Linked DNA regions of Schizosaccharomyces pombe. The protein of the gene in region 1 interacts with the protein of each later gene in a pairwise test. Each region holds a gene or a part of one and is shown on either strand. Other genes may lie near its edges. The genes, in order: ell1 and eaf1.

Evidence for each region.
Region 2: the proteins of ell1 (region 1) and eaf1 interact in a two-hybrid assay, tested with the Schizosaccharomyces pombe proteins (2 studies listed by BioGRID).

Annotation. Positions count from the first base shown.
Region 1 is NC_003423.3:2,028,060-2,033,257, reverse strand, and holds ell1 (RNA polymerase II transcription elongation factor Ell1), read left to right. Parts: upstream 1-2,117; 5' UTR 2,118-2,222; coding exon 2,223-2,387; intron 2,388-2,462; coding exon 2,463-2,671; intron 2,672-2,771; coding exon 2,772-3,999; 3' UTR 4,000-4,648; downstream 4,649-5,198. Other genes in the region: origin recognition complex subunit Orc4, read right to left, coding at 4,797-5,198.
Region 2 is NC_003421.2:1,859,709-1,863,741, forward strand, and holds eaf1 (RNA polymerase II transcription elongation factor Eaf1), read right to left. Parts: upstream 2,229-4,033; 5' UTR 2,206-2,228; coding exon 2,121-2,205; intron 2,019-2,120; coding exon 1,927-2,018; intron 1,762-1,926; coding exon 1,675-1,761; intron 1,551-1,674; coding exon 1,059-1,550; 3' UTR 759-1,058; downstream 1-758.

The DNA.
Region 1 (5,198 bases):
TAGATGAGAGCATACCAGAGTTGTTTATAGTGCAAAGTCGGTTGCTTACTGCATCACCTTTGAAAACCCCCTTTCTTCAGAGTTAAACTTTTCTCTCATTTATTATCTGTCAAGGTGTATTGCTCGGACACTTCTTATACTGCCTTTGCATTCATTTTTGCTTGCAATTTATCCTCCCGTGATATTCCTTGTCATCTTATTTTTCTATCTCCCTTCTCATTTAGCAGTCTCTTGAAAATCTCTTTTACTTTCTTGCTTTCTTTCTAGCAACTATTCACTTTATCGCTGATTTAGCGGAAACCGCTTACTAACCTACCCATGTTTACAAATGAAACGGATTCGTTCGTGTTGTAAAATTTATCGACATAACTTTGAATGTTACAGAGTTAATCTGAATTCATTCTTCCTTTTTTGTACCTTTTTTCTTGGGCGCTTGCTCGTAATTAGCAACTTGCGTTAAAATTCATGTAGTAGTAAGTCGACTTGATAATGTAGTTATGTAGTTTTATTTTATAAAAATAGATTTTTGCGAATAATCGTCGAGCATTCCGTTCAATTCATTCAATCACTGCGAGGGTTTATCGGGTTAATCTTCTGTAAGGAATATCGGCTTTTATGGAGTTAAAAATTGGTATGAACATTTTCCATTTGCATAAGCGAAAAAAACACGAATGTTTGTTTATTGAAATCGTTCGCACGATAGTGGAAACCAAAACATATATGGCAAAAAGCCTACAGCACCCCGGATTCCCATGTTGTCTCCAACCATAGTACTAACGAGGCCCTCAGACGCTTAACTGCAGTGATCGGACGGGAACTGGTGTTTTCGCCTAGGTATGGCCGTAGACGTTTGTCAAAAAATTTAACAAGATATATAGTGTAAGAAAAGATAAGAGGTATTTTAAATTTTGTTAAAAGCTTCAACATGATTTTTGAAAGAATTTTCAATGAGCACAATAATAAAATAACTGGTAGTACTCGTTTAACTGTGTATATACAAAATATATTTACACAAAAATATATCCGGTCAGGGAGGGACTCGAACCCTCGACCTCACGATTAACAGTCGTGCGCAATAACCAACTATGCTACCCGACCTTGGATGTCTGTAGATATATTTTAAACATATATATCTTCTATGCTTTAAACCTAGTCATTACTTTTGTCTTAATACCAGTTATTCTGAATCATCAAGTATTTCGGAACTTTAGTTATACTATATTTGTATTAGTAACATGAATTTTAAAGGATAGATAATTCCACTCAGAAGAAGACTGTTTCTAGACTATAAATATATTCACTATGTAGTAAACATATGTAAAGATTCAATGAAAAACAAATGGTTCGTTATTCGATTTGAATTAAATGAAATTAACAAATTATCATAAAAACAATCTAAATAATTGCGTAGTTTGATAAACACGAATAACAGGACCAGCAAGTAAAATCAAAAAAAAATCTGTGGTTAATTAAACAGCTTTATATTGGCTCATTTAACCTGATAAATTAATGTACTAAAGACCTTTTTTTTGTTTGAAATTATAAATACCACAGTTCGTCAACAAAAGTGAATTCAATTATGGAATAATTGGCAAAATTTGTAAAGCATCATTGTTTTCAATTCAGTAGAGTTTTCAAGAAGTCATTGATTAAATAAGTCTAAAAGATTCACTAGTTCATCAATAAATTTCTGGTCCCGTAACCCTATTCCGCCGCTTAGAATTTCGAACCTAACGGAAATTTATTTTTTTAGAAAAATATGATTTACTTATATCTAGATAGTAAACTAAGGACGCAAGCTCAAATTTGTTCAGCATCGCTCCCTAATTCTCATTTTTCCACTGTTACTAAAAACTGAACTATGTAAACCAAAGTCCGATATTCATCTCAAAAAATAGTACACTGTCACATATGAGCTAAAAGGACATAAAAAGAAATATTTTTTTACACCAAAGCTGCAACTTGTTTCTTTGAATTTCGAATGTTTACATTATTCTTTCCATTTAGCGATACGCTGCTTATTCCTATTGTACACCACCAATATGTGCTACTTTTTGTTACTTAGCTCTAGCTAGGTTTCATACATAAGGTGCATCTTTATGTTAGTCCACCTTCTTATCCCTTTACCGTACTTACTGGCTTCTTAAACAAGCTTCTCCGTTGTGCCATCTAGCTAATATAATCATTTTGAGAGGCTTTTACTATCGATCTATTTGGGTTGAATGATTAGGAACAGTAGCATTTCTGATGCTCTACCTGTAGCATTAGGCGGAAATGAAGAAGAATCGCCTTTATTGATGCTGGTACAATTACCCAAAGAGTTTCTCGAAGGATATCTTTCAGGAACGATAACAGACGTGAGCTTGGAATGCAGTGATGTTGGTACTGTATGTGTGGGCATTTGTGAAGAGCGATAAAGAAGAATGAATTTTGAATGTTGCTAACCAATATACTTTTTTTAGTCAATATTAGCGAACGATAGGTCTTACAAATGCACTTCCGTTCCAGAAACTGCTCCGCATGAGATTTACAGACTGGTGGACTCGAATTCGTTACAACTGGTTGGCCGTGTCTCACAAAAGCTACAGCTTCGTAGAGAGCTCGACAGTTTAACTGCTGAGCGAGTGAAAAATCGTACGCAGGAAGCTCAAAAGGAAAAAGAAGAAAAAAGGTATGAAAAGAACGACAATAGTATCAACCAATTCTATGGATTGGAAGAAGTTACTTTCAATCTTTCTCTTTTCAAATTATGCTAATATTTGTAAAAATAGAATTGTTACCCTTCAAAATGATGGTGGTTCAAAAAATACAACTGCTAGGAAGCAAAAGCAGTTAAAAAAAAATGGACTCAGGCCTCTCAATACAAGTGCTTCACGAATTGGTCTTTCCTCTTCTCCCACAAATACACCTTCCCCAAACCTTCCCGTCTCGCAACCGTCTGCATCACCACATTATTCTGGTGATAAAAACTCGGCCAAAGGCATTGATCTTCGTACTCGTGTTATCCAACTTTTGGCAATCGCTCCCGAAACTGAAGATTTTCTTCGTTTAAGAACAAAGGCGTCACTTTCCAAATTACAAGCGTTATTACCAGAAGTCGCTTGGAAGAACAACATGAATCAATGGGAGCTCCTTAATCCTGTGTATAAAGATGTACGAGTCTTTGATTGGCGTCCTTATAGTATTGCAGACAGGAATGCCGTTCTAAGTCGTATGTCCAATGCATTCGACAACATGCAATTGCCTCCTGATGCTCCTGAACGTTCACTTTTAGTGTCAAAACAAAAAAACATTACTAAACTCAACAATGAAAAACGAATTCCTCCCCAATTGGCCCAACCCACTTCTCATGTTCCTTCATTCATTGACACTAACTCTCCTTCAATGCCTTCTATTTCCTCGGTTTCTTCTTATCAACAACAACACCGCATACCCAAGCTCAACGCTTCAAACTATTCTCCCTTGCTTTCCCCCTCCTCACACCGAAAAACATCGGGAAATCTTTCTCGTACTGGTTCAGAAAGCTCTGCCGTTTCATTAAGCGATACAACAAACTTAAATACTCCTATCTCCGACATTCCTTCACCTGGCTCTTCCACTACTTGCTCCAATCTTTCATCTCCACATATCAAACGAAAAAGTCGTTCTCCTCCGCAATCCTTGCCTTCCACCCCGTTTCCTACGTCTTCGTCTTCTACCAACGGCACTCTTGAACCCAATGCAAACTCTCCCAAGAAGAATGAACAAGATGCATGGATAGCTAAAAAGCGTCGTCAACAACGTTACACTACAGAAGAAATGCGAGCATTGGCAAAAAGATTTCGGGAAACTTATCCGCGTTATAAGAATTTATATTTAAAAGTCTCTTCATATTATGATAATAATGATACTAATAATCCTAATTTAAACAAGCTCCAAGATGAACTTATATCTCTACATTCTCAGCTCAAAAGCTGGAAAAATACACTTTACGATGCTTCCTCGGAGCTAGCCCTCTAACTTTTCTCAATAAATTTCCGGTTTTCTTAACACTCAGTTTTATTTCCAATGTTTTATAAAGGTGACGGTTATCTCAGCTTCAATTCAAAATTGTTTCAATACTGTACGGTGCCTACAACGAGTGCAGGCTGTTTTTTCCTGCTTTCGTTAAGGCTAGTGTTTCGTTTAAAAGATAAATTGGTTAAATTCATATTCAATTAGCAGTTTATTGAATATTAGTTTGTTTTTGATTTTATAATGAGAATCTTGTTATTGTGATGCTTTTTTTAAACTTTTATGACATATCTTTAAGTTAGTTAAACTGCGTGAATTCCTTATGTGCTATCACTTTTTTTTGGGCTTAAAAGTACCACTGATGAGTCCTTTCGTTTAATCTAATTTATTTTGTTTTTCTTACCACCTTTCATGAAATATTCCGCCAAAATTTTTTTTCTACATTAGTACAAAGTGACCCTGAAACAAAAACTATCATTAAAATGTTTAGGTATTCATTGATCCGTTGATTACTGATTTACCTTCATAAGTCATCTAATATAAATATTTGGAGACCAGCTTCTTTCACAGCTTAACCAGCGCTGATAGCAAAAAAGTAAATTCTATTTTCGTTTATCAGAAGCAAATATTTAATCAATTAAAATTAAAACTTTTATTTATCAAATATCGGTAATAACTACAATGTGTAATGGTATATAACCTTCAACACGGTCGTCCTTATTTTTGCCTTTCTTATATTGTTTTATTTAAAAAGGATACAAAGTTAATAAAATACAACAGAAACAAAAAAAATTGCAATTCTTTTATATAACCTCCTTAAGCCAGCGGTAATAATGCGATGGCAAACGTCGATGTTCACGCAAACCTACAGAAACTACATTGATATCCACTTCTGGCTGCCATAGTTGGCATTGTCTAGAAAGGGCACCACTAACATTAGTAGAAGGGTGAACCGGTATAATCAATCCTATAGACCCTAAAGTTTCCCATGCTTCCAAAGCAACATCCCTTCCCCATAATCGACTGCTATGAGCTAGAGCTCCCGATGCTGCGGCATTTATAACGGAAGATTGATGCAGTTGTCGATATTCTTGATAAGCACTATTAAAGTTGCAAGCTGGAATATCCCTAGCTTCAAAGCGAACTGCACAAATCAATAAAGCCAACTCCAACAAACTTAAATTCTTTACAAGTTCAACCTTATG
Region 2 (4,033 bases), on another chromosome or scaffold:
TGAAAACATCAAAAGAATCAACTCAACTTTTTTTTTTCTCTTGGATGTTTTTCTTGTTTTTTTCTTTTTTGCATCAATGAATTAATTCTTTTCTAAATTTTTTATTTATTCAATTTTTTTATTTATTTTAAATCCTCTTCTCTCTTCTATCCTTGTTTACACTCTCTCAACTACAGACAACATTGTTACCTAATGCCCCCATACACTATATATACACACACACCTCTACCTTCGTTCTTCCTTAAACAACGTATTCATTATATTCCTTGTCCAACATGTTTACCTGGTAAAACACACCGCTAGTTGACACTATCTATACTGACTGATGCTGTTGGATGGTGATTTCTAGTTTAGTTTTTCTAATTACAACAATATATTTTCCTTAGTGGAAATGCTTTGAGTAACTTCTTTTCATTTTCATATATTCAGACTAAATAGGTAAGCTCGTCTTTTGCATGCAGGAAACTGAAACGACAAATGTTGGATTGCAAGGATGCTTAATCATCTGATTTAATGAGCCTGATGGTCTTGACAACCAAAATGCTGTCAACTTTGATTACTGAGCAATTTACAAACGAATGTCAAAACTCTTTTTTTGTCTTTTTCCTGGTTCAGACAATTAGTTTTTCTTAACTCCTTTTACTAATTCTTTTTTTTACTAGTCAAGCTTCTTTTTTTTTTATAGTTTATTTAAAACCCCAACGTTGCTACTCTGGTATTGCCGTGGGTTGAATAAAATTGTCCGTCTCATGAAACGCTAAGACAAGCCATGTTTTTTATAGTCATTATGAATTAATAATAATAAAAAGAAATATAAAAAGATGAAAACATTTTAAAACGATATATGTTTTTCCCTTGGCGTAGACACGTTCGTATATAATTAAAAAAATGACACAGAGTGAAACGAGTTTATTACCGCCGATTCGCTGTCGAGTAGTGATGGAAAAGACTTGTCTTGCTTTACTTTACTCCCTGGAATTTCGTTGCAAGTCGTTCATTAACAGATTTTCTCATTATCGTGTTTGGAAAGTGTATACGAAACACAGCATAAAGCATACTTAATCCTCATCCTCGGAAGCGCTGCTGATACCCTCTGCCTGAGCAGAAGAAGCATAATCCCTCTCTTGCGAAGATAGACCCCTCAAAGAGATTGGTTTGCTGGCCGTTTGGGATACTGTAGAGGGGTCGTCTATGGAATTAAATTCCTGATCAAATCCTAGCTCTAACTCTTTGGCAAAGTCATCCAACTCCATGACCTCCATGTCAGGCTCATCGTTGGTATCGGTGGTGATTGGTCCCTTGCTAGATATGGCAGGATATCGAGTATTGCTCGATGAAGGTTTTATTTTTCCATCCTTTGAAGCTTCCAATTCCTTTTCTTTACGTCTCGTGGAATTAGTCGTGACCGCACTTTGAGAGGTCGATTTGGATTCAGAGATTTGGGAATTATCAGATTGAGTGATGGCATTAGAAGGTACAGTTTTAGAGACTTTTGGATTGCGTAAAGCATTTAATCGAGCAATCTCATCAATATGCTCCAGTGTGAATGTCTAATGCCTAATGTTAGTATCGTAGTAGTGACATGAAAACGATTCCTGTTCTATACATACACATGCACGCATGCATACATAGATTTTAACCTCTTTAAAAATAGTATATGGGACAATAACTTACCTTTGTTTTAGCGTTAAAAATTAGTACACAGTCCACATTCCTGGCTCGTTGGCATGAGCCTTCAAATATATGAGGCCTGTCATCATCCTACCAATGAAGATATACATTAGCATTCGTTGATTCAATAACAGAAGCAAATTGATGTTTCAAAATTTGAGGAACCAAAAAGTAAAAAAATGATTTTTTCAAATTTTTACTCCTCATGGAAGAAAAGGGAAACCAACTTTGCTTAGTCAATTTTATAATACTTACAAAAGTTGAAGGAAGACGTAGACGATAGGCTTCCTGAGCCTTTTCTAAAACACCTCGACGAGAAGGGTCCACACTTTCTGGTATAAAATTGTCTATAAACAAAAAAGAAATAAGTATTCTGCCTGGAGAAAGTATGATGTTCATAGTTTGCAACAGAGATATACACTGTCTCTAAAAATAAATGGGCAACGTACATTTAATAGATAAAAGTCCATTTGAATTCTTTGAGAAGCTGGACCCGGGAATAACTTTGTATGATCCCTTCTGTAATGAATTCATGATTGTTTATAATGGTAAAAGTCAGGCCTGTACGAAATTGGAAATTTCGATATAAATCAAATAAATAACGTAAGGTAAGACAGCTCAAGGTTTCTAATTTTAAACCCCAGAAATGTAAGCTACGCAGTTTGGTATCTGGTTTAAGGATACGTAGAACTGCGGTGAGTTTTCCTTGTGGTCTATTATATTACATTACACAGGTTGTATAAGTAGCAACTGAGAATAGGTATTGTATTAACAGGGTTATAATGTTACCTATCACTAATATAGCTCATAACTGAACTGAGGAACGAGGTTCAGTTGGAACTCTATTCATAATATTTCTAAATAGTTGTTATCATCGGGTATCTATGTATATAGACGGATAGTTACCCGTGATTATCAATAAACGGATCTTAGCTAGTATTCCAACATATGACATATAGTGATGCGCAACGTAGTGTATCATAGCGTAGTGTAGTATTGCTGACAAGAAATGAACGATAATGGATAAACACTCAATTTGCTATACCAATTTGCGAGCAGCTATTTTAGCATTCGTAAAAACGAACTTACACAGTGCGCGACCGAGAAAGACGTTGTAGGTTGTACAGTATATATCATTTCGGTACAAGGATGAATCCTTTATTTACAAGATATATATACATTCGAGGACTACCTGCGCACAGTCAGCAGTATGATTGAAATATTATAAAAATTTACTTGCGTTTCTTGTCTTTTAGGTGCATGTCGTAGGGCAAAATTCTCAGAGTATGATGACTGTTAGATTTATTGCTGCTATTGACAACAAAAACGTCACGATCGATTTAAAAATTAGTAAATCAGTAGTCAAAATACATGGTTTTTCTTATTGCTGCGTCAATCTATCATTCATTGATATTTATTAGCTACAGCTCATTTCTTTTTAAAAAATTTACCATATAGCGAATCGCGGGAAATGAACGTTTAACATTTTTAACGAAGTTAGCTTCTAATACATTAATTACGAAGAGCTTGTATAAACAGTTGACTAGTGTAAGCAGGTATATGAGCATTGTGAGCAAAGCCTTTTTGAATAAGATTATGTTTATTATTGTATTATTAATGTACCAAGTTGCATGGGGAAAAAGTCTACGACATTTTCATGAACATTCCATTCTCATTTCTCTACCTCTTGGATTATTATATTAACTTTTCATTTATGGTAAAGCAACATAATCTACGGCTTTACCGTACTCGGTTGTATGGTGTAGCGGTTAGCACGCGAGATTTTGATTCTCGAGATCTGGGTTCGACTCCCAGTACGACCTTTTTGCCAGAGCGAACAGTGAAAGGAAAGAAGCAAGAATTGCTTTTAGACCTGGGTTTGGATTACTTTTTTCGATATCGCCATAGCTTTATTATAAGTAAGGGCTCCTCGATGCGCTAGCAATTTCAAGGCATCGTTCATTAGTGTCTTTGTGAGGGTATATTAGCCGGAGCTGGAGCACATTGAAGCTTAACAGTATCAAAATTTATTTTTTATATTGTAAATCATTTCTACTAAATTATTTACCCACCCTTCATTTTCACGCTTTTCTACCCAACAACGATTTGGTTAATAACGTAAAGCGTACGAATTTGCAAAGCAACGCTTCCGTGGTGTACAGAAAATCGCTATTTTTTAACGAGACAACTTTAAAGCGTAATGCGATATAAAGTTTTTTTAAAGTATCCTTATATATTATTTAGCTAGCGTGGTTAAATTCCCTATTAATTTGCTCATACACTTTTTTTTGTTTCCTTTCCGTAACTTTACTAAACGCATCAACCGCAAATTACAGGTTTTTTAGCTGGGCTAACAAAGGTA